Neurospora crassa OR74A: one gene and its partners. The protein of the gene in region 2 purifies or fractionates together with the protein of the main gene of each other region. This does not show direct contact. Links are inferred from orthologs where the notes say so. Each region holds a gene or a part of one and is shown on either strand. Other genes may lie near its edges. The genes, in order: NCU00925, NCU09894, NCU09131, NCU00105, NCU01524, NCU03702 and NCU02511.

Region 1 (3,920 bases), about 2.7 Mb from region 2:
ATAACCATGGTCGCGGTAAACTTGATCCACGCATTGGGCGCTCCGGTAGCGGGCAACTTCTGCCTGTCATAGCAAAGAAGAATGAGAGGCGGGAGGAGGAGTAGCGGATACATGGAGAGGTATGATGCGAAGGCTAGGGCGACCATGGCGTGAAAGGGTCTGCCGGAGATGGCATTGGCGACGGCGTGGAGAATGGCACAGGTCGTGAAGACGGTGGTCGAACGCCCAATGCATGTCGCGATGGTGAAGGGGTTGAACAGGAAGAGCGCGGCAATGATGGCACCACTCCAACGCTTGTCACGGCGCGGGGAGGTGAAGCGCGCAGACGAGCTGGCCTCGCCAGACTCTGCAATCCTTAAAAGAGCATGGGCGCTCAGAATATCGATAGCGATGTAGAGAAGGTACGTGAAGATGGGAAACGCCGCGAAGCTCGGGAGCAAGTTGAAGATGGGCAGCAAGAGGGGCGCCTGGTGGTAGACGCCGCCATCGTAAGGAGAGACGTTATGGTTATACAGGAAGAGGCCTTCTTGGACTAGATTTTGGTAGTTAGCAAACCTGTGTTCCTCGAGACGATGCGACGAATGCCGAAGAGAAAAACAAAAGCTACAACATACGGCGCTTGAAGCTTGTTACTGGCGTTGAGATCTCGACACGGCCAGTCAGGAGGTCTGGAAGACCGGGGAACAGAGTAAAGAGGGCAAGTCGCAGGACGGCAGCACCGGCGTATAAGCCAGCCGTCCTCCTCAACGTTACCTTGCCGCCATTCATTGTTCAATTCGCCATACGACGAGGTGGGAGCTGTGATGTCGAACTTGTCCCAGGGTCAAGTTACTTCTAACGACATGCCCGTCCAGTTGCGCTATACAGGAGTCGCGCCCAGCACGTTAGGTCGCCTTGTCAATCGCTGTCCCCGCCAAAGCAGACCGACAGCTGGCCCGGCCTCCACAGCTGGCGGGTCCCTGTGGGACAAGGGGTTCTGGAATCCAATCCAGACGGGAGCGGGAACCTATCTGGGCCAGACGGGCCCAGTATGTATTCTAGTAGCCTCATCTGTGCCTATCTGATGCCTCCCGTCTTTCCATCCGCTACGTTATCTTATCTTTGATCAGCTCAGGCGGTGGGAAGTGGCATAAAAAGTTCAGGACCGCGAGGGTCAGAAAAAAAGTTGATTGCAAGTGCACAGAGCGCCCCCACCTACAATTGGCTTCGATAACGATCGAGTCTGCAGACTGAAGAGATCCATCCTTGGTCCTCTTCTCCTTCTCTCACTCTTCCACCTACACCCAACAACCACAACCACCACCACCACACCCCAAAATGCCAAAAATCAAGAAGAAGGGCCAGGCCGGCGCGGCCAAGAACTACATCACCCGCACACAGGCTGTGAAGAAGCTGCAGCTTAGCCTTCCCGACTTCCGCAAGCTTTGCATCTGGAAGGGTATCTACCCGCGCGAGCCTCGTAACAAGAAGAAGGTTTCCAAGTCGGCCACTGCCTCGACCACCTTCTACTACACCAAGGACATTCAGTACCTCCTCCACGAGCCCCTTCTTCAAAAGTTCCGTGACCAGAAGGTGCTCGAGAAGAAGATCTCCCGTGCTCTTGGCAGAGGTGATGTTTCGGATGCCGCCCGCTTCGAGCGCCATGCTGCCCGCCCCGAGGCCACTGGCAAGCCCAGGTACACTCTCAACCACGTCATCCGTGAGCGCTACCCGACTTTCAACGACGCGCTCCGCGATCTCGATGACTGCTTGTCCATGCTCTTCCTCTTCGCCAACCTCCCTTCCACGAGCGCGGTTCCCGCCAAGATGATCGCCCGCTGCGAGCGTCTCTGCCTCGAATTCCAACACTACCTTATTGTTTCCCACAGCCTGCGCAAGTCGTTCCTGTCGATCAAGGGTATCTACTACCAGGCCAACATCCAGGGCGAGGATATTCTCTGGCTCGTTCCCTACAAGTTCAACCAGAGGATCGTCGGCGATGTCGATTTCCGCATTATGGGCACTTTCGTCGAGTTCTACATGACTCTTCTTGGATTCGTCAACTACCGACTTTACAGCTCGATCGGCCTCAAGTATCCTCCCAAGTTCGACCAGCTCAAGGACGAGAACGGTGCTGAGCTCGGCGCTTTCTCTCTGGAGGGTGTCAACATGGCCACCCAGGGCGAGACCAAGGCCGTCACAAACGGGGAGGAACAACAGCAGGGTCCTGACCCCAAGGTCCAGGCTGAGGTTGACAAGATTATCAAGCAACTGAAGGAGGACGAGTCCAAGAGCGACGAGACTGCCGAGGAAGATGCCGAGGCCGACGATGAGGAGAAGCCCACAGACTCCATCGACAAGTTCGAGCCAGTTGCCCCTGGTGGTGATGTTCTTCCTCAGCCGGCGTACAGCAGCAGTGACCCTTCGCAGCTGTTCGCCAACTTCACATTCTACCTCTCCCGTGAGACCCCCCGCCAGCCTCTCGAGTTCATTCTTCGTGCCTTTGGCTGCAAGAGGATAGGCTGGGATTCCGTCCTCGGCGAGGGTGCCTTCACAAATGACGAGTCGGATCCCTCCATCACCCATCACATCATTGACAGGCCAGTCGTACAAGCCGCTACCAACGAGGATGGCGATGGCGAGGACAATCAGACGGCCCAGAAGGTCGGACCCAACCAGAGATACCCCGGCAGGATATATGTCCAGCCCCAATGGGTATGGGACTGCGTCAACGACGAGGAACTCAAGAGCCCTGAGCTCTATGCTCCTGGCGCCGCTCTCCCTCCCCATCTTAGCCCCTTCGTCAAGGCCGCCCCTGGCCAGTACGATCCTACTCTGCCCCTTGAGGCTCAGCAAACCGAGGCCGAGGCTATTGAAGCCGACCTCGAGGATGCCGAGAAGGGTAATGCTGAGGATGGTTCCGATGTCGAAAACGACATGGATGTTGATGAGGCCGAGGACGATGAAGAAGAGGAGGAGGGTGACGAGGAGGATGCCGAGGAGGCCGAGGAGGAGGATGCTGAGGAAGATGAGGAGGAGTCCAAGACCCTCCAGCGTCAGCTTGAGCTAGAAGCCGAGCTCCAAGGCAAGAAGGTGCAGAATACAAAGGTAGACTCCAAGACCAAAGCCAAGCTAGAACAGCGCAAGGCTCTTGAAAAGAAGGCACGCGAGGAGGCGGAGGACCTGGAGCGCGCCAAGGGCATGCTGAGCAAGAAGAAGCGCAAGCTGTTTGAGCAGATGCAGTATACCAACAACAAGAAGAGCGCTCAGGACGAGAAGCTCCGCGCCAAGAGGAGAAAGCTGGAGAAGGAAAAGGCGCAGAAGGCGTAAGGTTAAAACACTGGCAAGGCGTAATTTTTTAGCACTTTATGTTTTGAAATGGGATACCAAAGGCTCATTTTTCTCTTTTCTTTTTGTGTAATCGACAAGTTTTGAATCCTACTCGTCGTCCTGAACTGATGCAAATGTGAATAATCGTGACATGAAAACGAGCGCCCACGAGGCTTTCGTCTGAGGGTTAGGGGTCGCTACGAACCAAACCGTAACGCCCAAGAGAAGTTGGAACGAACCGAAAATAGGACCAACGAAAGGTGAGAGTACAAAGTAAAAGAATTGAGTGAGGAGTCAGAGGTTCATCAGTTTCTCCATCCTTGTTGCTGTGGTACTACTACTGGGATGCTTTCGTACGTCAGTGCGGTTCTTCGACCTTCAATCTCTTGTCACTCCCGTCCTTAGTGATTGATCACCAGAATTTGCACTCAACAACCCTGCCAACGCGGGAAGAGCACCCACTAAACTGGGCCATGCAATGTCTTCACACTTGAATCAAGAAGATTCCGGCGACGAGGATTGGGATAAGGACACTGAAGAGATTAATTCCATCGCATCAGATGAACTGCACGAAACCCGCCCCAATCGGTGGAATGGGGCCCCCTCCACAT
Region 2 (4,224 bases):
AGCGAGGACCGGCTGCATGATTGAGCTTCCGCGCTTGGTCTCGGTAATCTTGGGGTTGCGGTAGACAAACTTGTCCAGGAAATGCATGAGGCTGTGGTTGGCCAAATCCGGCTTCGGCAGGCCCTTTTGACGGACGAGAAGGTTACTGGCATAAACGTGTACGGATGGATGGAAATGAGATAGAAGAGGAGCCTGGTGGTTTTGAGGTTAGTAAACTGGTTTCACATGCAATCAGAGTTCAAATAGGCACTTACCAATTCCCACAAGCAGCTTCTGTGCGCATTGCTATGCTCGGGATTTCTCTTTCGTCCATCATATCCTGTGGCACGACGGGAAGTTGGTGCGTCTTCACGCAAGAGACTGCGCTGCAGAGCCGCATCATCATTGACATCCTTGTAAGCCTCCACGCCATCATCTTCATTCTCCTCGGGAACAGTAAGCAACGAATGAAGGTCAGGAAACATGTTCTCCAGCTCGGAAATCAGATATAGCACCCCGCATGCGAAGGACGGCTGATGCAGGTTAAGCACCTGAACCAATCTCTTGACAAAAGCCTTCACTCTCCGCACGTCGGCATCATTCTTCAGGGCTCGAAAAAGTAGATTCATGTACAATGCTTGCTTCGATGACGTGATGAGTCTGGGATCCAATAATGATTCGTACAATGTCCGATAAAATCGGTCAACAGCGAGATGTTTGGTCACGGCGAGCTGTTGAATGAGCATGAGTGCTTGCACGCTGGTGTTGAAGTTCGACGAGTGCGTGATGCGAAACAAGGTATCGAGATGTTTTTCCATGGTCTCATCGTCGGCGGTAGTGAAGGGTACCGCACGATTGACACCAGTAAGCAGTGCGGATACGAGTTTTTGTGTCGTATCCTGCTCGTTGGCAGAAGCCTCGGTGTGATTTCGCTTGCCCTTCTTAGCTTTCCTGTTGCTGCCGCCAGATTTGTCCTCGGAATTTAGCGCTTCCAGGTTTCCCAATGAGCCAGTTTTGAGGAGGGAAAGGAAAGCCTCGAAGTAGATTCGGAGTAGCGTGTTGGCTATAGCGGGCTCTTTGGTGCTCAAGATGGTTTGATTCAGGGTGATGATGGCGTAGTATTTGGTGCGCAGACCTTGGCCTGGCTTGAGCAAAACCTCTTGCTCTACCGTGCTGATGACAATGCTTTTCATCGCAGGGTGAATGTTGAGCAACTGCAAGAGGAGGTATGACGCCCGAGATGCAATTTTCCGTTCGCGATCACCGAGTTTGTTAACAAGAAGTCGCAACAAATTGGCCTCTTGTTCCGGCTTGTCCCGGAGCAATGTGAAAACAAATTCCAGCGCGCGCATTCTCGAATGCTCAATCTGATCAGTCGACCAGATTTCGAGGAGCTGGACAATGCGAAAATACGCTGCTTTGAGCCAATCCTCGTATGCCCACATCATCAGGTAAGAATCAGTTAGCTTGGCTGGGAGCTTCTGGCCCTGAACCCAATGCAGCACAGCTTGATCTTGTAAAGCGGCCAGCAAGGCGGGTTGCATGTTGAACGGACGAAGCCGGCGATTACTTGGCAGAACTGTGCCATTGCCCAGCAGATCCACTAGAGCGCCCAGGGCAGCGAGTGCCTGACTACGGCTTTTCTTGCCGGCCAACCCGATCAGGGTTTCAAAGGCTTTCTGGTTGTGGAGAGGAGACTCTTGTATCGACAAGGTTAAGGCAGATACCTTGTCGGATAAGGTGCCGGAAGACATAATGGTCGACATGAACTTCTGAGTGGAGCTGGAGGCCTGGAGGGCGTTGTATCTTGCCGCGTCCTCCTTCAAGAGAGCGTCCGCGTAAGCTTTGAGGTTGGCAATCGCTGAAGAATATTGCCTAACGTCGGCAGATGGTGTGAAGGCAGGTAGGCCCTCGAGGTCGAGAGCATGCCAGTCAGGTCTGGGCTCAAAACCCTACTCAAGTTAGCATACCGCCAGGTAAGTCTGCGGCAGCGAGAGCGTCGAACTAACCAGCTTGTTCTTGCCTTTCTTCCCGCGCAGGGTGTCTTGGGCGGTCGTAGTTGTGCTCTCACTTTTTACTGTGGCAGAAATGGCTAGAGGCTGTTCCTGATCCTGGCTGTCATCCTGTTTTGTTTGTTCCGCGTCGTCGTCCTCTTCTTCGTCGTCTTCTTCGTCTTGTTCCTCGTCGACGGGGTTTTCAGACGACACGCTTTCAAGGTCATCCTCGCGGGGTATGTTCTGGAAGCCCAGGCTCAAGGCGAACTTTGTCAGTTCCTCATGAAATGACTTATCCAGGGATTTTTCGGGCGCCGACGCAGATTTCATGCCAGGTCCCTCTTCATTGTCGGAATCAACATTGGCGACAAGCTCAAGATCATCCTCGTCTCCGCCCAAGGCCAAAATTTCCTCCAGCAGAACCTCCTTTGTTGCATTGTGGGACTGGTCTTTGCTGGAACGGTCCTCTTGTCCTTCTTCAGTGCCCAGTAGAGATTTCTGGCGCCTCTTTGCATCTCGATCATCAGCTGTGGTGTTCGGTCTCTTGCGATTTGGTGACGCGTGTTGGTCAGTGCCGACGCCAGCGAGAGTTTGGTCGATCTTTTCGGTCAGTTGAGCAAGTGCTGCTGCTTCGTCGAAAGCCGGCCCCATGCCTTTCCTCTTTCTTTGCCTCGGTGACTTGGATGAGCCCATATCTCCTAAATCCGTCGTTGCCGAAATCAATGGACAGCGGGCCGGCACAATGTGTCTCGAGGTTGGCTGTTGGTGATGCAAAATAAACCATCTACGAGGAAGGGTTGGAAAAAAAAATGCTTGGATCATGCACCTAGCGGACCCTCGTGCGTCTTGCAGGAAGAGTGGAGCAAGTGGAGGTACAGATGTACACAGTACACTGACAAATCTCTATGTACTATGCAGTACTCTCCAAACCTCGGCTGGTTCATCATTGGCGCGGTACTTCGATTGACACTTTTTCTTATCAAGTTTCATTCGGTGGAGTTTGGCGATGCAAGCCTGAAATAGTGCTAAAAGTGTTAAGTCCTACGCTGGGTAATATTTGGAGAAAGTCTAATCGTACAGTTAATATTGTCTATCCGTACGGTGGTCTACTTTTGCTTTATTAAGTATAACTTAGTAAAACGGAGACTAATGAAACTGAAAGTGGCACCAAACTATTCGTTCATTTTTGAGGAATTTTTTAAGGTAGGTACCAAATCTATATCCCTAAGCATCATGGAAAAACTACCCCTTAAGCCTTTTTCATCTAAAATCTTATTAATTATTTATTTATAATAGCTATCTTCTTTGAGAGTTTCCTAGGGCTACTAGGTAGGTCTGGTCACTCCAAAAAGAGTGTTAGATAGAGTAAAAGATCAGAAAAAATATAATGCATTTTGGTAAGTTAATACTAAACTCTATTAAGTTAGAAAAAGAATATGAAAGTCTATTTTTCATTACCGTACGGATAGATAATATTGACCGTACAATTAAACTTTTTCAATATTTGATTTAGAATTGAATTGTACAATCTAACTTTAGTGTGTTTGTAGGTTTAGTACTAAAAAAAAGCCAATTTCTACTCTAGAGCCAGCTACCAAATGTCGAGGGTAGGAAAAACGTTTGAACCTCATTCAGACAGGTACTAAAAGGGGACTACTCTCTCATATCTTCCAGTCTTGGAGGTCCTAAATGAGACAAAGAGGGGTATAAGAAGGCTTCCATAGCATTTTCCACCCTGGCTATTATTATATAACGCTTCCAACAGAGGCCCTTTTCTCTCTTTAAAGGCTAATAGAAGCTTTAAACAATTTCTCCTATTCAACGTATAGCTAAAGAACCAAACTAACAAACAAACTAGTATTAACTTGTAGAAGGACCTACAACTAGGAGTTTAGTGCCCGTGGGGTATATATTGGATTTACTAATGAATCCCACTCACCGGACACTTCTATTTATAGTAATGTGCCTCGTAAATGCTAGACCTAATAAATGCAAATACTTAACAAATACTAGGAATTTCACTATATGTATTATTTTAGTATAGTATACCTACTAGCTGCTAAGTGCTAGCCGTTAGCCGGCTCGCTATATAAATTTACAATTGCCAGGGACCCCTCGAGGGAGCTAATAAGGGGTGTCAAATGTACCTAATACCCCTTATTAGAGCTGTTAGGGGTACTAGAAACCCTCCAAATAGTATAGCTAGCTGCCCAATTTCTAAAGGATTCTCCTTATTCTTTCCCCCCTTTAC
Region 3 (3,930 bases), about 1.5 Mb from region 2:
CCTACACAGCTCACCCACAATTCCACGAGACATCATGTAGAAAGTTGGTATGGTGCACTTGAAGGCTTTACACGTTGTTTCTTTTTTATTTTCTTTCAATGTGGCCGTGTTGTTAATTTTTGTATTGTTTGCGATTCCCTGTCGCAAGAACCACGGAGCCAGGCTTAACAGTCGTTCCACGGTTATACTGCAATTTCAGACAACTACATATGTACCTAGTTCTGGGCGCCAAGGCTCTTCCTCCACATTCCCGTCATTGCGAAGTATCACGCGGTTGGGGACAGTCCGTTGAGATACCTTCATATGCGATGACTGCATTACAGCCTATCCTATCCTATCCATACATGCGCGCGTCATGAATCGAAGGCTTCTGTTCACTTTCGAATTCTGCCCCTTTTCTTGAAGCTTGAAAATCCACGGGCCGCGCCGGATGAAACGCGCGCACCCGCACCACGCCGGCTGCTGCCCGTTGGCTCTATACCAGCAAACAACCCTAAACATCAGGCAAATGGCCTAGCACTTATTTCTTCCCCTTCCCTTGAACCTTCCACTTCGAAGCCCTCGCAGCAGCACGACCAGTCTTCTTCTTACCACCACCCGCATTCGGCGCCTTGTTCTTCTTGGCGCCCTTGAACTTGAGATCCTTAGGTTTTCCGTCTGCCGCACTAGCACGCTTACCCTCGAGAATGAAACTCTCGGGGGACTTGTAGGCGCCCGGGACTCTGGGACCGGTCGCCTCCGTGTTGGCGCCCGAGGCGTGATTCCTCCTTTGGTTGGCCTGGTATCTGTCCTGCTTGTTGAAAGTCTTCTTCTTGTCGGAGCCGATGACCTGTCTGGCAGTGAACTTGCCGAGGAGCTTCTCAGCGCGGCCGGCGATGGTCTTGGCTTCGGCGGAGATCTTGGGGGCGTAGTCGGATTTCTTGGAGCCAGGACCCTTCTTCCCGTTGTTGCCTTTCTTCATAGTTTCCGGAACGGCACCCTGCGCCTTGAGCTTCTTGGCTTCGATGGCACGCAGGGTCTTGTGAGGGGCCTTGCAGCGGCTGACGCGTAGCTCGCGGGGGAGCATGGGCGGGAATTTCTTGCCGTTGAGGAGGATGGCTGACTCGACGGCGTTTTCATCCTACGGAGGGGGAACAGAGTTGTTAGTTGATAACGGGCAAGTAAGAGACAGAGAGAAGTGATAACTCACGCAGAACTGAACGTAGGCGAAGCCCTTGCCGACACGGGTGACAGGGTCGCGGACCACACGAACGCTCTCAACTTTGCCGCCCTCTTTACCGAATACCCGCCAGAGACCTTCCTCAACGTCCATAGGCTGCTTTGTCCGCTTCTTCTTCTCGGTCACCTCCTTACCGTCTTCGTCTACCTTCACTTGCAGTACTGTCTCGTCATCCACAAAACCAAGGTTACCGACGAAGACGCAGCGCTTGTGGTCTACCGGGGCAGGATGGGCAACGCTGTCGACACGGATGTGGCGATCCAACACGATTGTGCCGTTGAGTTTCGAGCAGGCAAGACGAGCGGCCGCAGGGGTACTGTAGACAACATAGGCGTTTGTCGACTTCGTAGTGGCCTCCATCACGGACTTCTTGATATAAGCGGCACGCTTGGGAATGGCAGCGGTAGCGAAGGCAGTCGAGCGGAACCGTATCGACTCAACCTTTTGCGCAGGTTTCGCCTCCTTGTCCAACACTGAAGCCATATGCTTCATCAAGGCCTTTTTGGCCGAACGAGAGGTGACGGCCTCGACGGCGACATTGCTGAGGAAGACGGTGCGGTTGGCCTTCTCAATCTCGTTCTGGGCAGCATCGGGCGCTAGCGATTCGTGAACGGGGACCTCATCCGCAGACTCGCTGTCGTCGTCGTCCTTCTTCTCGGCCTTGGCGGTATCCTTCTTTTCTCCGGATTGCTCGTCGGCCTTGAGACGCTTGCCAGCCGGCTCTTCATCGTCCTCCGCCAACTTGGACAGGTATTTGTGTTCGAGATTGTCGTGCTGGTCGGGTTGCTTCCGCTTCCGTTTCGGTCCATCTTCTTCCGGGACCTTTCCTTGTTCTACAACAACTTCGAGGGTCGCGACGGCTTCGTCTTCGCTGTCACTGTTGTCTTCAGCCTCGTCGTCTTCGTCATCCTCTCCAATGCCGACCTCGGAATCGTATTCTTCGTCAAGCTCGCTCAGTTCCTCGTCATCGCCCTCGTCCTGAACGTCTTCCTCTTTCTTGGAAGGTACTGGCGCCTTCTTGGACTTTGTCGGTAGGGGCTCGGAGTATTTTGCAGCTGGGCGGGGCTTCGCTGGACCAACCTACACAAGATTAGCCATGTAAACTTCCAATTGCCTGTCTGGTCAGAGCGAGATGACTTACACTGGTAGCAAACAAAGCATCCAAGCTAGGATCAACCTTCTTCACCGGCGCAACGAGTCCTTTACTATAATAGTGGTGTCAGAATACTGGAAGAATGGCGTTGACTGTAGCGTAGGGCTGTTCGCACGTTTTACCCATTGTGAGTTTTCCGTCGTGTGTAAGCGCAATGGATGGGAAAGTGGCACGATTCGCCAATCAAGCACTTGTGATTGACTTAGTTCTAAGAGCACGGAAAAACAACTGAAGTTCGACGACGAGGCGAAAGATGTGATTGGCTGTAAATGCTGTCAAAATCGAATTGCAAAGCTTCCACTTCTGATTTCTAGCAGGATGTTGTACAAGGCAAGACCAGTTTCTATGCAGGCAGGTTCAATGGTCCAGGGTTTCAAAGGGTCGTCGTTTCTACCTTCCCCACTGCGCATCGTAAGGACGAGTCGAGGACCGTGGAACATCTTGCATCCTCCCATTAAAAAAAAAAACTCGCTTATCAGTTGTTATCAAAGCTGCCAAGACTCACCGCCTGCCATCGCCTTTGTGTGGTGCGCTGGGCTGTTGGAGACGGGCGGCGGCGGCAGGCAAGCGGGCAGGCAATGGAGCCCCCCAGAAACCTGCCGGTTGCCCATTTGTGTTGCGTGCTGGTGCGGTGCTGTGGGCGCTTGTCCAGCTCCCAGTCTAGGTCGTCAACCAGATACCTACTGCCCGCTCCTCACTCTCCCGATCTGTCTTCCTACTACTTTACCTACCCAGACCGCACGTTATCTCTTGACAATCGCGCCCTCGTACCGACAACAAAGCCATATCTCCGAGACATTTCATTGTGTGCGAGCACACATTTTAACCTTCCGGCATAAACACACTTTACCCTGATCGTGGCGCCACAACTTCAGGTGCTGCTCTTGAGCTGCCCGTACAGTTCGGACGTCCAGTCCGCCGTCCACGACTAAATTCTACGTGGCCGTCCAACTTTCCACTGCTCAGCTGCTCAACCCAACATTGGCGCGTCGTTGCTTAGTTTCAATCTCGTCGGATTCTATGATCCGCGATGGCTACCGGTGACACCGCGCTGTCCTTGGCTCTCTCGAGCCCCCCTCCGCCTCTGCTCCAACACAGCCCTAGCGATGTGTCAAGCCCACTTAGTGACGTGGAAGACAAGCATGGAGATCCTGACGACATGGATTTGGACATGAACAGTAACCACTCTCAACATCGCGAGACATCGGTCCGAACTGACAATCGCGATGGCGTCGACTCGGACCTTGGCGCTGAGACTGACGACGAGAGCAAGCTGTCGGACGTGGATATTAATGACTCCGAGGCAGAGACAGAGAGGCTCTACGACACACCACCGAAAGATCGAGTATCGCGCGACATCGTAGACACCGCGGGTGAGCCTGGCACTCGACAATTCACCGACCGCCGCGATCGGACGTTCGAGCGCAGCCCTAGCAAGCTTCAGCAGCAAATCAAATCTGATTACGAACCGGAAAACACTGCCAGCGGGCGAAACACTCCCTCAGAAGAAGCAGAAGTGGGTGACGAAGAGGCCTCGGAAGACCTGAGTGACGAAGAG
Region 4 (3,353 bases), on a different chromosome or scaffold from region 2:
CCCTCGCCCGTCCGCGACCGCTACTTCTGGATCCTGCACGGCCTGCGTCCGCATGGCACTTTGTACATCGACCAGGGCGCGTACAAGGCTCTCCTCGGCAAAGCTGGGCTGCTTCCCGTCGGCGTAGTGGACGTCGAGGGTTTCTTTGCTCAGCAAGAGGCTGTGCGCCTGTGCGTCGTTGACAAGCGCCGGTCTACGCCCGGTCCGGATGGCAAGATGTGGGAGGGTGAAGCGGTCGAGGTGGGCCGGTGCCTGACCAACTACGCGAGCGCCGAGATTGCAAGGATTAAGGGACATCAGAGCGTGGAGATTGGGCAGCTGTTGGGGTATGCGGATAGCGAGTATGTGGCGCAGAGGGAGAGTGTGAGCTTTTACAATACGGTGAGTAGGCCGGCTAGTCCTGTTGGGGGACATCGGGCTTGAAGGTATGGCTTGGTAGAAAAAGTGCGATTATACAAAAACATGGACGGGGTTCGTACCTTGAAATTACGTGTTGAAAACGACGTAAACAGATACAATTTGAGTGTTGCGTAAGTCGGGATCTGGACGAACAATGGCTTCCACAGGTATAAAAACAACGAGGTCGAGAGGATCCCATCACACTTCCTAATAAAGGATGTAGGTATGTCTCGGTCCTGCCCCATTGCTCGACGAGAAAAAAGATCAAATTATATCTGCCCAGATAAAAATGCTGGAGGTATCTGATTCTGACCAAAAGTGTATGTGTGTGTTGTAAACGCCAGGACGCCTTTATGGTACTTCCCTAAAGCAAAAAAAAAGTTCATATGACCTTCTCTTTTCCAAGCCTTCGTTAATTCCTTCCCTCTTTCTTACTCGGACCGACACTTTAACCAGCAAAGAGGGTGTCCTCATCACGGAGGTACTCGCCGCAGTCCGATTGACGGAAGCAAACGATACCCGTGGGATCAAGGCGGCGTGCCTCGGTTGTGCTACGAGCTGTGACACCGAAGCCAAGGGGGATATCAGCCATGCTGTAGACGACGACACCGGAGTGCTCGGGGCAGTCCTCGGACCAACGGCCGACGTGGGCCTTGACGACTGTTTTCAAATGCCCGTTAGTTTTCATGAGGCTAGTAGGACAGAGAACCAGGAGATGGAGAGGTATACCGTTCGAGCCGTAGAGGAAGGGCTGGGCACCGTTGTCCTTGACCCAGATCTTATGACGGGCGTGCTCCGAGAGGATAGGAACTATAAGGTTGGTAATCAGGTTGTTAGCTTTCACATACATTCCAACTGTTTCAGTAACCGCATAAGGATTCGGCATTGGACATGGAACGTACGGGCAGTGATGTGAAGTCTGAACTTTCCCGTCTTGGTCATCTTTCCAAGGCAGGTACCCAGGCTGAGGAGGGCATCGCGGCTGACACTGGTGGCGAGGTTGGCAACGGAGAGACGGACGTAGTAAACCTGTATATCATCATCTTTGTCAGTTTATCTGGCCCTTATTCTGGTTGGTGGTGGTGTGGTGGCTGTCATCGCCGTCGCAACGGCTGTCGTTGTCCTCGGTGGCGCACAGCCAAAAGGGAAGAGACGGTGTATCGAGCAAGGTCGAGAGGAAGCGAGGGAGGCGAGAGAGGCAGGACGTACGCGAGAGTGGTTCAGACGGAAAACGTATCTGTCGCCATCATCGAGAGGAGCGATAAGACTCTTGAGATCGGTGCAGTAGTTTGCAAGCTTTAGGGTGCCAAAGCAATCAGTCAGCTGTTGTTCATCCTTGTTTGAATATGACATTGTTTCGGCACTGAAACTGACCTTCTCGAAGACGGTCTTCTGCTCCGTTTCTGTAAGAGGGCGCATCTTGTCGGTGTGTTGTGAATTGATGGAGTTGGTGATGCAATGCGAGGGAATCTCCAAGCGCTGACAGCCGCAACCGATGGAGGTTCGCCCGCGTTTCTCTGCCAGAACTTTTTTTTATCGACAAGGAAACCCACTCTTCCGATAATGGGGAGACGCCAAGCCATCAATTCTCCGCTTTAGATGCAATGGCTGCAGTGGATACTCGTAGCTAAAATAGCCGAGTCCCACTTTTACCCGCTTCTACGTTTGCCGTGCGCGACCCCAGCGTGCCGCCCTAGCGACACTGTCACAGGCCGGCAACTGAAGTGACAACCTGAAGCGGATAATATGCCACATCCATGAAGTTTATATTTCCAGAGGGAACTCCTGCATCGCGATGTTCATCCAAGTCCTGGTGTGATGGAAGAAACAAACCCCAGTCGAGGCCAATGATCTCCAGCTGTATCCAGCGGGCTACTCTCTTTCAGGATTCGGTCCTCATCTACACGATTGTTTTCCTGCGCGGCGAGCCTGGCTGACTTCTCAATCGTCCTGGTAGCCCAGATTGCTGGCAGGGTTAACCGTGCAAGTTAGCTTTCCAGAGATTGTAATGCATATCGGAGTGATATCGCAGCAAAGAAGCTCGCTGTTCAACTGACAAAAGCGTAACTAGAAGGCCACTTGACGTTGGAAGTGGCAGCTTGTGGTTCTGGTCGTGAATGGGTCGAGCCATGGCCTTGCACCCATCAAAGAGGGATTATAAGTCAACTTCTACTGACACAAAAAGAAGCCAAACTAGTATCAAGCATCGAGTTGATCGATTGCCATTCAGACTCCTCAACCAGTGTCTCCGTTCCTGTCCGAGGTTCTCAAGTGGGGAGGTGTTGATGACTACATAGTGGCAAACGAGACGTGGGAGTATTGTGGTATAGAATACCACCGAATGCACCGAATTCATCCATCTCGAAGGAATATGAAGTGTGACCAACCAAACTGGCTCACGTTGGGCGCGCTGGTTAGAGGAATCTCATGATACCCAACCCACCACGATGCGCAACATTACGTATTCGACTATCTCGTCGTAGAAATCACGGATGCGCAAGGAGCTTCCCTTACGCGGTAATCGCCGAAGACCTTACTGCGCCTTCTTGGCCAGACCTGTAGATGGGAAAAGGTATGTATGGTGAGAGAGAGATGCTGGAGTGTGAGGATACCGACATTGTGGTTCGTCCAACTGGGAGAGAACGTCCCTTGTTGTTCATCTGCGCAAACGAAGACAAAGAACAACGGTGAAGGATTATAGTGGAAGGAGAAGACGGAAGTGAAAAGAAGCATTGCAGTAACGTCCAGCTGTTTGGGTCTCGACAATCCTCTCTGGTTGGAGTCAGGTCGATGCAGGTACTGCGATGACGGAGAGACAGTCCGAAAGCGCGGACCCCACTGGAAAGCTTCCATGTGCCCCGCCCTCCAGGTACCCACTTTATACCCCTCAAGCCCGAACAGGAGCCAACAGTATATGGTGACAGGAAGACCGCTGAAGATTCGAGTCGCTTCGT
Region 5 (3,524 bases), on a different chromosome or scaffold from region 2:
ACAGGTCCCCTGTAGCGAACTTTCACAATGAGTGAAGTGAACCCTCTACAACCTATCCTCAACTCTCTCCTCCGATATCGATGAGTGAACCTGAGTCATGACCAAAGTACTCCGAGTCGTTTTTTTTGCTTCTAAATTTTGATCAAAAGCGTTAGCCATACGTGTTCAACATTAGACTCAAGCCATTTGTCTTTCGCTTTAAGGAGCGACGTCCTAGGTATCGGCTCCAGTCCTTATCTCTTGTTTTCAAGAAGCACCAAACTCGCGCCAACTCCCAGGCACACTACATGACTTAGACGACCCAAAGCCCCTGAGAAGATGGCTAGTCCGTCAGAAAATCTGAAATTTGGGACGATGTCGCCCAAAGCTACCTTGGGACAAAACATGGTACTTTTTCTTCTTCTTCTCCTTGAGGAGTGTACTGAAGGTGGTGATATCATCCCAACAACTCAACGAAAGAGACACCTCGTGTCTCTTATATATATGGAAACAACCCAAATCATGGAGCAAAAATGTGAGACAATATCTCACAGCGCAACTGCATTTAAGGTAGAGTCTAGGTCCTATGCGAACAACATCTCCCTCAGGAGTGTGGTTATAGACAGTCAACCGCTAGTGAGGTGCCGAGCAAAGTACTTGCTCTCCTACCCTTCTTTGACCATCTCCTTTCAACACGACCAAGACCGGAGCCAGGACGGCGTTCATCACTCAATCTTGATCTGATGTGTCCGTTTTCGAGCCAGCACCTTATACGCTGAGTGCTCATCTACCACTCGATCATGATCCTCTTTCCCAACTGTCAAAAGAGGACAGCTCGTCCGTCTCACACATCCCCACGAATACTGTAATGTTGTACAATGCAAATCGATTTCCTTTCTTTTTCCCGAACCAGACCAAACCAGCCAGCCAGCAAAAGTACAAAAAACTCCTTGATTACCCCTAAACCTAAGGCGTGCGTTGCTTTGATGTGTCGCAAGCGAACAGACGTGATGAAATCGTGTTGTGAAAAGCTCTCTCTCTCTCTTTCCCCTCCTCCTCCTTTCTCTAAGCAAAGAGCTCCCGGGTATCCAAGACATCCTTCTCCTTCTTCGCCTGGGCCGTGAGGGTCTCGAGCTTGCCGAGCCTCTCCTTGACCTGCTCCACCCTGGTGTTGTGCCTGGTCGCCTTGGCCTTGCGCAGCTCCGAGCGCACCTGGTTGGGGGAGATAAAGCGCTTGTTCTCGTAAATAATGGGGCCGCCGAACGCGCCCTCCTGTATGATGATGGGCGTTAGGACGAACCGAGGTCCGATCTCAACCAGACTGACGTCTGTGTCCTTGAGCTCCGCGTTGGGCGCGCCCTTTCTCTTTTTCGATGATGACTTGTCGCTCTCGGGGACAATGTCGTTTCCTTCGCTGTCCTTCTCGCCCTTGGCCTTCTCCACTTCTCGGATCTCGTAGTTGCGTACCCAGATCTTGCCGTCGGCAATGCTGAAGCTCATGACGTGGTCGATAAACGGTTTTGACTTGCGCGCGCCCTGGGGGACGCCAAACATTTGCAGAAACACCTCCTTGATGACGCGGTAGTGCGGCTCTTGCTCGAAGGCGAGGTCGAAGGAGAGGAGTGGCCTCGAGCCCTTGAGGCAGTTACCCGTGAAGTGAAGCTCTTCCATGGTGTGCACTGTGCTTTTTGTTAGAACCCGATTTTTCCTCTTTCACAATGCGTATCTCGGATATGGATAGTGCTCACAGTTTTGGGCGTGGAACTTGACCGTAGGGCCGTTAGGAACCTTGCTAAACCACATGTACAGATCCTTGCCCTTGCGCGCCTCGAAGAACATGACGTTGTTGCAGTTGTAGAGCTCGGCAAGCTCGTTCAGTTGGTACAGCTTGGACTTGGAATCGAACTTGACGTCTTTGCGGCCGTGGGGGAGCATCGCTGCGAGATCGTTGAGGAGATGTCTGTGTCTGTACTCGGGGCGCAAAGGCGGTTAGCAATTGACCCTTTCTTCTTCCATCTTGCAGGTATGCAGGGTCTATATGTACCTGTAGGTAACGCCTCTGGACGAGAGAATCAGAACTCTCTGCTTGTTCTTCCGAAAGCCGCCATTGGTGGTGGTGGTGTTGTTGTCGTTCTCCGTGTCCTCGACCTTCTTGGCGCTCTTCGAGAGCGACTTGTAAACGGCGGCCATTTTCTTTTTGTTCTTGTCGTTCTTTGGGTATCAAAATCGGGCGAAAAACAAGGGTGACTGAAGTTGGTGGTGGTTGTGGTGGAAGTGATGGCAGAAAAACGGAATGCGGATTGCAAAGGTGAATTCAATGCTCCAATCCACGAACGTCGCGGGCGAAGCGCAGTGATGGAGTGCAGGCTGTTCCATCTCAAAAAAAGTTCGCCGGCCAATCGCAGCCCCACTCCGATAAGCTTCTCTTATCTTACTAGCGTCCCTGTTCCGGCCCCCCTGCTTGGAACAGCTGAAAGGCGGTCGGCGGTCTGGGCAACCCGCATTTGTCCCACTGATGGACCCAACCTGGAATCCGGACCCCCAAGTTCTGGGGATTCCATTGCCTACACACACTGTCCAAGTTCCACGCGTTCTTCTTGTCTGCCCTACAGTGGGGGATGGGACGGGACTGGCCTCTTGTCCGCACTCAAACCCACTTCAACCGCCTCGGGTGACGCGATGGGAGTAATGAGGGACAGTCGCCATAATCCATCAGGCAAGCCCAGATGTCTTAATTTGTATTGACTGTTTCCCGCTGTCGCACATAATCAACTTGAATGTCATAACGAGATCCTGCACGATTATCGCTACATAGGTACTCACTCTCGAGGTACTCCTCTTCTCCCACATTGTGGATGCAATAGATGGAGACCTTGACAACGTGGAGCAATATGTACCAGGTTGAGTTAAGGGCTGTTTATCGCCCATAGTTCATTTCAACTAAATAATATCTTTCGTAATCCATGCGCAAGTGATGGCTTCGTTAACCACATTGAGGAAAATTCCAACGACCAGCACGGGGGGAAAAGGGAAGAAAGGGGTAGTAGTAGTAATAACAACAAAAAGGAAAGGCTGGAAGACGAGCATCATGATCCTTTCCCCCCTCCCCAAAAGCCCAAAAAAATAGAGAGAAAAAGAAAAACAGACCATCCCATCGGCGACCGTGATGTAATAAGACTGGGCAGGATCCGTCCGTACTTTTCCCCCGATGCTGCTCTTCATTGCTCATCATAAGCCTCCATTGCTTCATGTCAGACATATGTGACGCCGTTGTTGGTTCGGCACCCTGTTGTACTCTGCTGCACCCTGCACCTCAACCCTTCAGGGCCACTCGGTTCCCGGCCCGGAGAATCAAGCACCTCCTAACAGCAGCCAGACTTCGCCTGGGGGTCGTTCGCGGTCTGACTGAGCGAGATGCTCTGGCCAGACAGGTTTTGGTGGCCCTCGTTGGACCCGCTGGGGCCGTTGTCGAAGTTCTTGGTCGACACGATCTTGTAGATTTCTAGATAAATGATCGCATGTTAGCGGTAGGCTCGCGCCAGAGC
Region 6 (4,189 bases), on a different chromosome or scaffold from region 2:
AAAATGCCATGCTCGCGTACACCGTTCCGGAAAAAAAGTGAAGCCCTCAATCAAAACATCCCCTCGTCCAATCACCTAGCTATCAAAGCGCATTTAAGCGGCAGTGATGGCACGGCGGACGCGAGCGCCACGCTGGCGGGAGGAAAGGTGAGCCTCCTCGCGGACAACGGCCTCGGACTTCTGGACGACCTCATCGGCCTCAGTGAGGATGAGCTCGATGTGGCAGGGGTTGGACATGTAGGGGTTGATCTAAAACATAACTGTTAGCCAATGACCGGCTTGATCGTCTATCTGCCGGCGCAGAAGCAGAAATCAGGGGGGTATCTCCGGGTTTGACGTACGCGACCGTGAGCGCGGTAAGTGCGGCGGCGCTGCTTGGGGGCCTGGTTGACCTGGATGTGCTTGACAACGAGGTTGCCAGTGTCAAGACCCTTGGCATCGGCGTTGGCCTCAGCGTTCTTGAGGAGACCGAGAAGGAACTCGGCGGACTTGGCGGGCCAGCGGGCGCGGGAAACACCGAACTGCTTGCCTATATGACGAAGAAACGGTCAGCACCGTGTCTTCTATGTCCTCCATTCGATTGCGGTTTCGTGTCGGTCGGTCGCGGTTCCATCATGCTGACAATGCCCCCCTATTCCCCCGCCACTTTGTCCTCCCCACTGTCGTCGTCGTCGTCGCATGATGTACCGGTTCGGGTGTGTTTGTGCATGTAAATATCGAGTAAGTCGTACCTTGGGCGGCGCGGCCGGTGCCACCAGCGTAGCGTCTCATGGGGACAGCCTCCTTCTTCTCAAGAACGTTCTCGAGGAACTTCTGAGCACGCTGGAGCTTCCAGCCATTGATGGCCTGGGCGGTCTCACGGGTGTTCTTGAAGGAGACACGGAGGTAAGAGCCGCGCGAGCGGGCGGACTTAGCCGGGGCAATCTCAGTCGCAGCGTACCGAACCTGCGATTTTGAACAAGACTCGGTCAGCGATTCCCTCTCCTCCAAGTGCTCGCAATGCTCGCAAAGCCGTCATTGTCGTCCGTTGAGACTTTCGTCGTCATTTCGGCTGCAGAAGCCCGAAAACTGTCCTGAAGCAAAATAACGGCGGCGATTCTCTCGTTCGGCGGATTTCGCAGGGATTTACTCACCATCTTGCCTGCTTGTCGATGAGAGGACGGGGAATCGACCAAGTGTGATGTTCAGAGGTGGTGATGGGTTCCAATTTTGGCGTACAAAAACCGATTTTCGCGATTAGGGCTCTGTGGGCACTGCGCAGGTGGCTCGTGCGGACCGTCACTTTGCCTGAGGCACGTGCACGCGGGGACAGTAAGTGCTAGCGCCGATAACAGCCTGCCTCCTGGACTGCCGGCCGTGCACGATAGCATCCGCAACAAACTGGAGAGCCTCGACCGCCACGCCAGGACGACAGCCAATTGCAAAGGCAGAAGGCCTCGACCGGAAAAAAAAGTGCTCCAGCGATGAGACTTCGTGCCCCGCTTTTTTTTCTTTCAATCCATGTCCAGGAAATTTTGCACCCAGCTCCAGCAAAAGCTCTTTTCCGAGTCCTCGACAGCGCCGCGCGACAACTCTAAACCCATTGTGCCTCGCACGACTGATCTTACAACGCGTTTCGGCCCAGAATCGCAACTCATACCGACTCCGACTTATCAATACCGACACATTCTATAAAAATGGGCTTCGAGCGTGGTGGCAGAGGCGGCGCCCGTGGCGGTGGTCGTGGTGGATTCGGTGGTGATCGTGGTGGCAGAGGCGGCGCCCGTGGCGGTAGCCGTGGTGGCTTCGGTGGTGAGTTTGGCCTCAATGCCATCGCCTGAATGGTCTTTGCGGTTATGTCGTTGCTTCTGTTCGTCATCTTGAGAGATGTCTCTGCGTCTGCTGCGGCCCGTGGTCGCCATGCATGCCTCTTGACTTCTCGTAGTAGGATGGCGATTTCAGTCGAACTTCATATCGCAACTCGACTCAACATGCGATGGCAACAGCAACCACATTAACGCAACACTTTACTGACAATGACTTAACAGGCGGCCGTGGTGGTGGTGCTCCCCGTGGTCGTGGCGGTCCTCGCGGTGGTGGCCGTGGCGGGTACGTCTTGTGTTCAAAACCCTTGATTACTCCAAAGACATTGACTGACATTATGAGTATAGTGCTACCCGTGGTCGCGGTGGTGCCCGCGGTGGCGCCAAGGGTGGTGCTGCTGGCAAGAAGGTCATCGTCGAGCCTCACCGTCACAAGGGCGTCTTCGTCGCTCGTGGTGGTAAGGAGGATCTCCTCGCTACCGTCAACCTTGTCCCTGGCGAGTCCGTCTATGGCGAGAAGAGAATCTCTGTCGAGAACGCCTCTAAGGAGGAAGGTGGTGCTTCCACCAAGACTGAGTACCGCGTACGTTTTCCAGGCTTTCCAGCTTGTGGCCTCAGACAAAGACTAACATTGGACTTTGCAGATTTGGAACCCTTTCCGTTCGAAGCTTGCTGCCGGTATCCTCGGTGGTCTTGAAACCATCTATATGAAGCCTGGTTCCAAGGTCCTCTACCTCGGTGCTGCCTCCGGTACCTCGGTCTCTCACGTTGCCGATATCGTCGGTCCTACTGGTTCCGTTTACGCCGTCGAGTTCTCTCACCGTTCCGGCCGTGACCTCATCAACATGGCTACTCGCCGCACCAACGTCATCCCCATCGTTGAGGATGCCCGTAAGCCCATGGCTTACCGCATGCTGCTCCCCATGGTCGATGTCATCTTCGCCGATGTTGCCCAGCCCGATCAGGCCAGGTAAGCCGACTTATACAGATCCTTGACACTGTATGTGCCTGACACTAACACATTTCAGAATTGTCGGCATCAACGCCAAGCTCTTCTTGAAGCAGGGTGGTGGTCTTCTCATCTCTATCAAGGCTTCTTGCATTGACTCCACTGCTCCTCCCGAGCAGGTCTTCGCCTCTGAGGTCCAGAAGCTCCGTGAGGACAAGTTTTTCCCCAAGGAGCAGTTGACTCTTGGTACGTCCATCCGCTTCCCTTTTGGTTGATAGAGCCAACAATAACTAACAATCACCCACAGAGCCTTACGAGCGTGACCACGCCATGGTTTCTTGCGTCTACCAGCAGAAGGAGTTCGTCGATAACTGAGTTTCGAATTAGTACTGTTCTATCTTCGTTGCTCTGTTCTGGAACCTTCACATAATTCGGTGTTCTACTGGCAGGATGGTTTTGTAAATCTGGAACGGCGAATGGCGTTTGGGTATCTGCCTTGTTTTAGCATTGTGGGAATAAAGCACCAGGGTTCTTAGACTGATATCCGGAGTGACCCCGGTTGCTTCCATCTTACGCCGCCTTTCACGATCTCGTCACGACTCCTAAGTCACCGCGCAACGAACCTCCTGTTCACCAGCGAAATTGGCCAGCCTACAACACATCAAGAACGATCACCAGTCAATCACCCTAAGAACGAGAAGGGCGCTGGATAGTCAAGCAGAGGTTGCTTTTATCGGCGCTTAAAATGCTCGACAGCTTGGTTCGTCTTTATGGCGTTTGAAATCTGCGAACTGAGAGTCCCTCCCCTTTCATCAGGGTATCACGTCGAAAACTGAGACTATTCTGGCCATTCGAGTTTCAAAGGAGATTGTTTGGGCCTGGGGACGCAAGGGTACTGCAAGCCAGTCATTACATGGCTTTGAGGATTATTTAAACATGCCTAGAGTCTATCCAGGATCAAGAGGATGCTGGGCCGTTGGTTTCGCTTGTTGATGAGCAAATTTGAGCTTGCTTAGTCCTATAGATTTACATATCAGAGTTTTGGGTCATCTTTGCTCCTTATCATCGGCCTTGTCGGCGGTCTTGTTACTTCTTGAGCTTATTGTTTGTTGCTTTATTCGATGCTGGATATGCTCTGATCTATGATTTGCATGCTATCTAGCTCTTCGATATCTCACCCCATTGCCTCTACACCTTCCCCGTACTAAGCGCTCTTGCACCGCTGAAAATCTTATCTTCTTGGCTCGTTTGCTTGCGGCGTTGATCAGAGCTGACAAAGTAACTCAGGCGACAACATATCCCGGGACGAGACGCGCAGCGTTAATGGAGAGTACGGACAGTGTAAGTGTGATCCGTTACCGGGTACTAAGCCAAAGTACCTCTACAACTTGTGGCCCAAGCCAGGCTAAAGGATATATAATTACTATGGTCCCGGGGA
Region 7 (4,241 bases), about 1.4 Mb from region 2:
ACGCGGCCCTGCTGTTGTGAGATACCGACAACAACCATCCACTTTCCGTCGGCGCTGGTCCGATAATTAATTATTTGGTTGCCCTGGAGATTAGCATTACGATCGAAGACCTTGACCGGAGCGGGCTGGTTCGGGTCGAAGACATCCCAATGGTAAACAGAGCCATCTGTGATCAAGCCAAGCGTGGTCTCGCTAACCCACTTCCAGAACAAGACATCCTCGCTCATGTTTGTCGACTTGAGCTTGGCCTTGTTTTCGAGGTCGAAAATCTGGAGTGTGCGCGCCTGGGCCTTGAGGGCAATTACTTGGCGCGTCCAGTGCATTATGGCACTGTCGGCCTTGATGGGACGTCGGATAACATTATTGCCGTTCTTGAGATCGACGATGATGACTTCAGGGGACGCTGCCTCGTCCTTCTTGTCGCGAATACACACCCAGTTGTCCGATTCTAGAGTCTGGGAGCGGGGGGTTCACGTCAGCAGGGGTGCCAGAGGAGGCGCGACAACTGTCACTAGCAGAGTCAGAGCAAGGTGAGGACAACGTACACAGGTATTGAAAGTGATGGCAGTCTGGTTGATGCCGAGGGCGCTGAGTTGCAGCAGCTCCTGGAATTTGATGGGTAGGGCCTGAGCCATGATGGGCGGTGGTGTTGCGCTAAGCTGCGCGCAGAGTGACGAAGATTAGCAGCCAACTTATCAAAAGCGGCTGGAAGGTGAATCCGCTGGGAAGTAGAAAGATTGGGGAAATGGAGGCTCGTGAAGCTCCGTGGACTGAATGGAATGGCGGCGACGTGAAAGGAGGCGGTGGTGGTGGTGGTTGGTTGTACTTTGGGGGGAAAATGACCGAGCTCCCGAGAAATGGGGAGGGGGAAAGAGGACGGATGAATCAGGTAGGTAGAGGTAGGTAGGAGGTTGGAGGTGGAAGGATTAACGCAAGGTCCAGAAGGCAGGTACGCAGTAAAACCCGCCGCCAAACTGTGGGTGAGAGGTGAGTCGCGATTTGCCGCTCAGTTACAGATACGTAAAGTAAAGGCGAGCAGGTACCTCGATGTCACCTCACTTCAATGCTCCAGCAGAAAGAATAGAGAAGAATCGCGGTTGTTGAAGGATGCAAAGCAGCAAGAGGAGACGTCGTTTGTTACGGGAAGTTAGTACCGTGAGAGATGAAAGATACAGCAGGAAAGATGGAAGGTGCTGAGGTGAGATGCCTCTCCAGCTGTCCAGTGTGTTTGTACATGCCGCAACTGTTCAGCGCAGACGGAAGGTACCTCTAGTACCTCTCAGGTTACCTGCCTGCTTTTGAGTGATGTGTTAACACGGGACCTCGCGGCCGGGGCGTCCACCGCCCACCGGCGCCGGCTCCATTCAGTGCTTCCCCCTGCGTCGGGTGCGCCTAGACCAGGCGGCAGGCGCCTGCCCGGGAGGCCTGCCTGCCCCCTTCGCTTCAAGCTGTCCGCCCGGTCCAGGTTGCCCGCCCTCATCCCGTCATCCTTCTACTTTCCTTTGCCCGCATTGATCGCCTCTCCTGCGAGGTCCGTCAGACGGTCCTTCCATTTCCTACCTCTAGGTACCTTATACCTCCAGGCCGCCTGCCTCCGGGGGCGCCGTTCATGCCGGGCTCCAGGGGCAGCTGTTCCCTACTCCAGAACAGCCCAGCTCCAGGGGTAGCGTCAGCTGTTGCTACAGGGATTCCGAACTTGGCCCAGCTTGACTAATGTGGGGCACTGACCAATGGCTCACCTTTTGGGACCGCAGTGAGGTGGAACCCGATTTGAGGAAAGAGACTTGGCATTGCTATCGATAAGCTTTTTCAGAAAAGAAAATCGACCCGGAGAAATATCCACAAGCGCCTGTCGATGGTGGGCTATCAGTGTTCAAACCAACCCCAACAACATCCCAATCACCACCAGACGACCAGCAATACCATCAAAATGGGTGTCGGACGTCGCATGCAGAAACAGGGCCCTCCTGAGCCCCTCTCGGAGGAGCACTTCGCCAACCTCAAGCGCAAGAAGGGCATTCCCTTTGACGAAACCACGACCGAAGTCGACACTAGAAGATCCAAGAAGCAGAAGATTGTCAAGAAGCAGCCCAAGACATCCGGCTCCAACACTGTCGCAGTCAAGGGCGCCAAGAAAGAGGTCAAGGAGGTGAAGAAGACTGGCACAAAGCCCGCCCACAGGTCCAAGGAGTCCAAGAAGCCTAAGAAGGCAAAGCAGCCTTCGCCCGATCATGACGAGGAGATGGACGACGAGTTTGGCGCGTCCGACCTGGAGGGCCTTGATATCGACGGCGATGAGATGGACGTTCAAAAGCTAGGAGACGATTTCCTCGGCACTGACGACGACTCGGTTTACGATTCCGACCAGGACGGTGCTACCAAGAAGGAGGCATTCGTCTTCTCTGACGATGAGGATGACGAAGAGGATAGAGAGGAGAAGCTCACAGCCGCCAACATCGAGGGTCTTTCGAGGAAATTGGATATGCAAAGAGAGAAGGAAGCAGAGGAGAACGAGGCCGAATTGCGCGACGAGGCGCTCCAGACCAACATCGCTGGTGGTGATGACCTCGGTGATGACGACGACCAACTTCAGACTAAGACCAAAACTTTGCTGGCACCCGATCTCCAGATGTTGAGAACGAGGATAACAGACGCCATCCGTATCCTGGACGACTTTTCGAATTCGGCGGAAGAGGGCAAGAGTCGCGCCGAGTACACCAGCCAACTCATCAAGGATATCTGTGCCTGTAAGGACCCGATGTTCCTTGCGCAATACTTCTCGTGAAATGCACAAATGTTAACTTCAGGTTTTGCCAGACTACGGTTACAACGAGTACCTCGCTGAAAAGCTTTTGTATGTTTTACAACCTGTCGCATGCCTGTCTGCGGCGATACCACCAGTGGGGAAACTGTCTGACTGTTTGTAGCAACCTGTTCCCTCCCAGAGAGGCGTTCGCCTTTTTCGAAGCCAACGAGAGTGCCCGCCCCGTCGTTATCCGTACAAACACCCTCCGAACACATCGCCGCGATCTTGCCCAAGCACTCATCAACCGCGGTGTCACACTCGAGCCTGTAGGCAAGTGGTCCAAGGTCGGTCTGCAAGTCTTTGACTCGAAGTACGTATATTCTAAATCAGGACTACAACGACGCGATTCATGCAAATGGCTAACAACTGGGGCATAAAGCGTTCCCCTCGGTGCCACGCCTGAGTATCTGGCTGGTCACTACATCCTCCAGGCCGCGTCTTCGTTCCTGCCCGTGATGGCTCTCTGCCCCCAGGAGGGTGAGCGTGTTCTCGATATGGCCTCTGCCCCCGGTGGCAAGACCACCCATATGGCGGCGTTGATGAAGAACACCGGTGTGATCTTTGCGAACGATCCCAGCAAGCAGCGTGCCAAAGGTTTGATCGGCAACATTCACAGACTGGGCGCAAGAAACGTTATCGTATGCAACTACGATGCGCGTGAGTTCCCCAGGGTCATGGGTGGCTTTGACAGAGTCTTGCTCGATGCCCCATGCTCGGGCACTGGTGTCATTGCCAAGGATCCCTCTGTTAAGACCAACAGAGACGAGAAGGACTTCCTGCAGCTCCCCCATCTCCAAAAGCAGCTTCTCCTGGCTGCCATCGACTCGGTTGACCATGCCAGCAAGACTGGTGGTTACGTTGTCTATTCGACGTGTTCCGTTGCCGTTGAGGAAAAGTGCGTTTTCCATATCGTTCTTAACTGTACTTTCAGAAGACGCTAACCCAAGATTACAAACAGTGAGCAAGTCGTTGCCTATGCGCTCAGCCGCCGTCCCAACGTCAAGCTCGTCGAGACTGGCTTGGCTTTCGGCAAGGAAGGCTTCACCAGCTTCATGGGCAAATCATTCCACCCCAGCCTCAAGCTCACCCGCAGATACTACCCCCATCTTTACAACGGTACGTTTCGCCTCCTTATACCCCCTTTCCCTCCCTCCCCTCCTTCATCACTAACACAACCCTCCAGTCGACGGTTTCTTCGTCGCCAAGTTCCAGAAACTCGGCCCCACGCCCGCCACTGCTGTCCGCGCCAACGGCGTCGACAAGTCCAACAAGCCTCTGGACGGCCAAGCTTCCCAGGAAGCCCAAGAAGTTGTCGACAAGACGCCCATTGGTGCCGAGTGCGAAGCCCAGGATGACTTTGGCGGTTTTGATGATGGTGAGGACAAGGAGTACATGGAGCGCGCTAAGCGCAACGCTATGCGCAGGAGAGGTTTGG

Evidence for each region.
Region 1: the proteins of NCU09894 (region 2) and NCU00925 purify together in Saccharomyces cerevisiae (affinity purification with mass spectrometry; 10 studies listed by BioGRID, with this or other methods). This does not show direct contact. The link is inferred for Neurospora crassa OR74A from reciprocal best matches to the Saccharomyces cerevisiae genes MAK21 and NOP7.
Region 3: the proteins of NCU09894 (region 2) and NCU09131 purify together in Saccharomyces cerevisiae (affinity purification with mass spectrometry, with the first as the bait; 4 studies listed by BioGRID). This does not show direct contact. The link is inferred for Neurospora crassa OR74A from reciprocal best matches to the Saccharomyces cerevisiae genes MAK21 and NOP12.
Region 4: the proteins of NCU09894 (region 2) and NCU00105 purify together in Saccharomyces cerevisiae (affinity purification with mass spectrometry, with the first as the bait; 3 studies listed by BioGRID). This does not show direct contact. The link is inferred for Neurospora crassa OR74A from reciprocal best matches to the Saccharomyces cerevisiae genes MAK21 and NIP7.
Region 5: the proteins of NCU09894 (region 2) and NCU01524 purify together in Saccharomyces cerevisiae (affinity purification with mass spectrometry; 4 studies listed by BioGRID). This does not show direct contact. The link is inferred for Neurospora crassa OR74A from reciprocal best matches to the Saccharomyces cerevisiae genes MAK21 and BRX1.
Region 6: the proteins of NCU09894 (region 2) and NCU03702 purify together in Saccharomyces cerevisiae (affinity purification with mass spectrometry, with the first as the bait; 5 studies listed by BioGRID). This does not show direct contact. The link is inferred for Neurospora crassa OR74A from reciprocal best matches to the Saccharomyces cerevisiae genes MAK21 and NOP1.
Region 7: the proteins of NCU09894 (region 2) and NCU02511 purify together in Saccharomyces cerevisiae (affinity purification with mass spectrometry; 4 studies listed by BioGRID). This does not show direct contact. The link is inferred for Neurospora crassa OR74A from reciprocal best matches to the Saccharomyces cerevisiae genes MAK21 and NOP2.

The regions. Positions count from the first base shown.
Region 1 is NC_026501.1:6,705,681-6,709,600, reverse strand, and holds NCU00925 (pescadillo), read left to right. Parts: upstream 1-1,189; 5' UTR 1,190-1,317; coding exon 1,318-3,309; 3' UTR 3,310-3,420; downstream 3,421-3,920. Other genes in the region: gpit-2 (glycosylphosphatidylinositol transamidase 2), read right to left, coding at 1-532, 615-768; NCU00926 (hypothetical protein), read left to right, coding at 3,788-3,920. UniProt on the Saccharomyces cerevisiae protein: Component of the NOP7 complex, which is required for maturation of the 25S and 5.8S ribosomal RNAs and formation of the 60S ribosome.
Region 2 is NC_026501.1:3,985,463-3,989,686, reverse strand, and holds the start of NCU09894 (CCAAT-box-binding transcription factor), read right to left. Parts: upstream 2,801-4,224; 5' UTR 2,796-2,800; coding exon 1,989-2,795; intron 1,932-1,988; coding exon 255-1,931; intron 193-254; coding exon 1-192.
Region 3 is NC_026501.1:5,442,434-5,446,363, reverse strand, and holds NCU09131 (nucleolar protein 12), read right to left. Parts: upstream 2,801-3,930; 5' UTR 2,499-2,800; coding exon 2,488-2,498; intron 2,425-2,487; coding exon 2,361-2,424; intron 2,300-2,360; coding exon 1,190-2,299; intron 1,121-1,189; coding exon 521-1,120; 3' UTR 65-520; downstream 1-64. Other genes in the region: NCU09130 (hypothetical protein), read left to right, coding at 3,403-3,930.
Region 4 is NC_026503.1:2,638,601-2,641,953, reverse strand, and holds NCU00105 (ribosome biogenesis protein NIP7), read right to left. Parts: upstream 1,920-3,353; 5' UTR 1,819-1,919; coding exon 1,774-1,818; intron 1,696-1,773; coding exon 1,609-1,695; intron 1,429-1,608; coding exon 1,302-1,428; intron 1,210-1,301; coding exon 1,129-1,209; intron 1,060-1,128; coding exon 848-1,059; 3' UTR 501-847; downstream 1-500. Other genes in the region: pro-4 (glutamate 5-kinase), read left to right, coding at 1-423. UniProt on the Saccharomyces cerevisiae protein: Required for proper 27S pre-rRNA processing and 60S ribosome subunit assembly.
Region 5 is NC_026502.1:3,192,924-3,196,447, forward strand, and holds NCU01524 (ribosome biogenesis protein BRX1), read right to left. Parts: upstream 2,321-3,524; 5' UTR 2,170-2,320; coding exon 2,024-2,169; intron 1,946-2,023; coding exon 1,728-1,945; intron 1,659-1,727; coding exon 1,045-1,658; 3' UTR 501-1,044; downstream 1-500. Other genes in the region: NCU01523 (GTP-binding protein ypt3), read right to left, coding at 3,342-3,481. UniProt on the Saccharomyces cerevisiae protein: Required for biogenesis of the 60S ribosomal subunit.
Region 6 is NC_026505.1:2,139,447-2,143,635, reverse strand, and holds NCU03702 (rRNA methyltransferase NOP1), read left to right. Parts: upstream 1-1,389; 5' UTR 1,390-1,676; coding exon 1,677-1,791; intron 1,792-2,027; coding exon 2,028-2,088; intron 2,089-2,150; coding exon 2,151-2,385; intron 2,386-2,446; coding exon 2,447-2,772; intron 2,773-2,830; coding exon 2,831-2,997; intron 2,998-3,058; coding exon 3,059-3,126; 3' UTR 3,127-3,942; downstream 3,943-4,189. Other genes in the region: NCU03703 (60S ribosomal protein L17), read right to left, coding at 94-249, 342-529, 732-945, 1,134-1,136.
Region 7 is NC_026501.1:2,564,244-2,568,484, forward strand, and holds the start of NCU02511 (S-adenosylmethionine-dependent methyltransferase superfamily domain-containing protein), read left to right. Parts: upstream 1-1,441; 5' UTR 1,442-1,855; coding exon 1,856-2,747; intron 2,748-2,817; coding exon 2,818-2,854; intron 2,855-2,927; coding exon 2,928-3,116; intron 3,117-3,185; coding exon 3,186-3,701; intron 3,702-3,764; coding exon 3,765-3,922; intron 3,923-3,989; coding exon 3,990-4,241. Other genes in the region: NCU02510 (clathrin heavy chain), read right to left, coding at 1-455, 546-635. UniProt on the Saccharomyces cerevisiae protein: S-adenosyl-L-methionine-dependent methyltransferase that specifically methylates the C(5) position of cytosine 2870 (m5C2870) in 25S rRNA. Required for 60S ribosomal subunit synthesis and processing.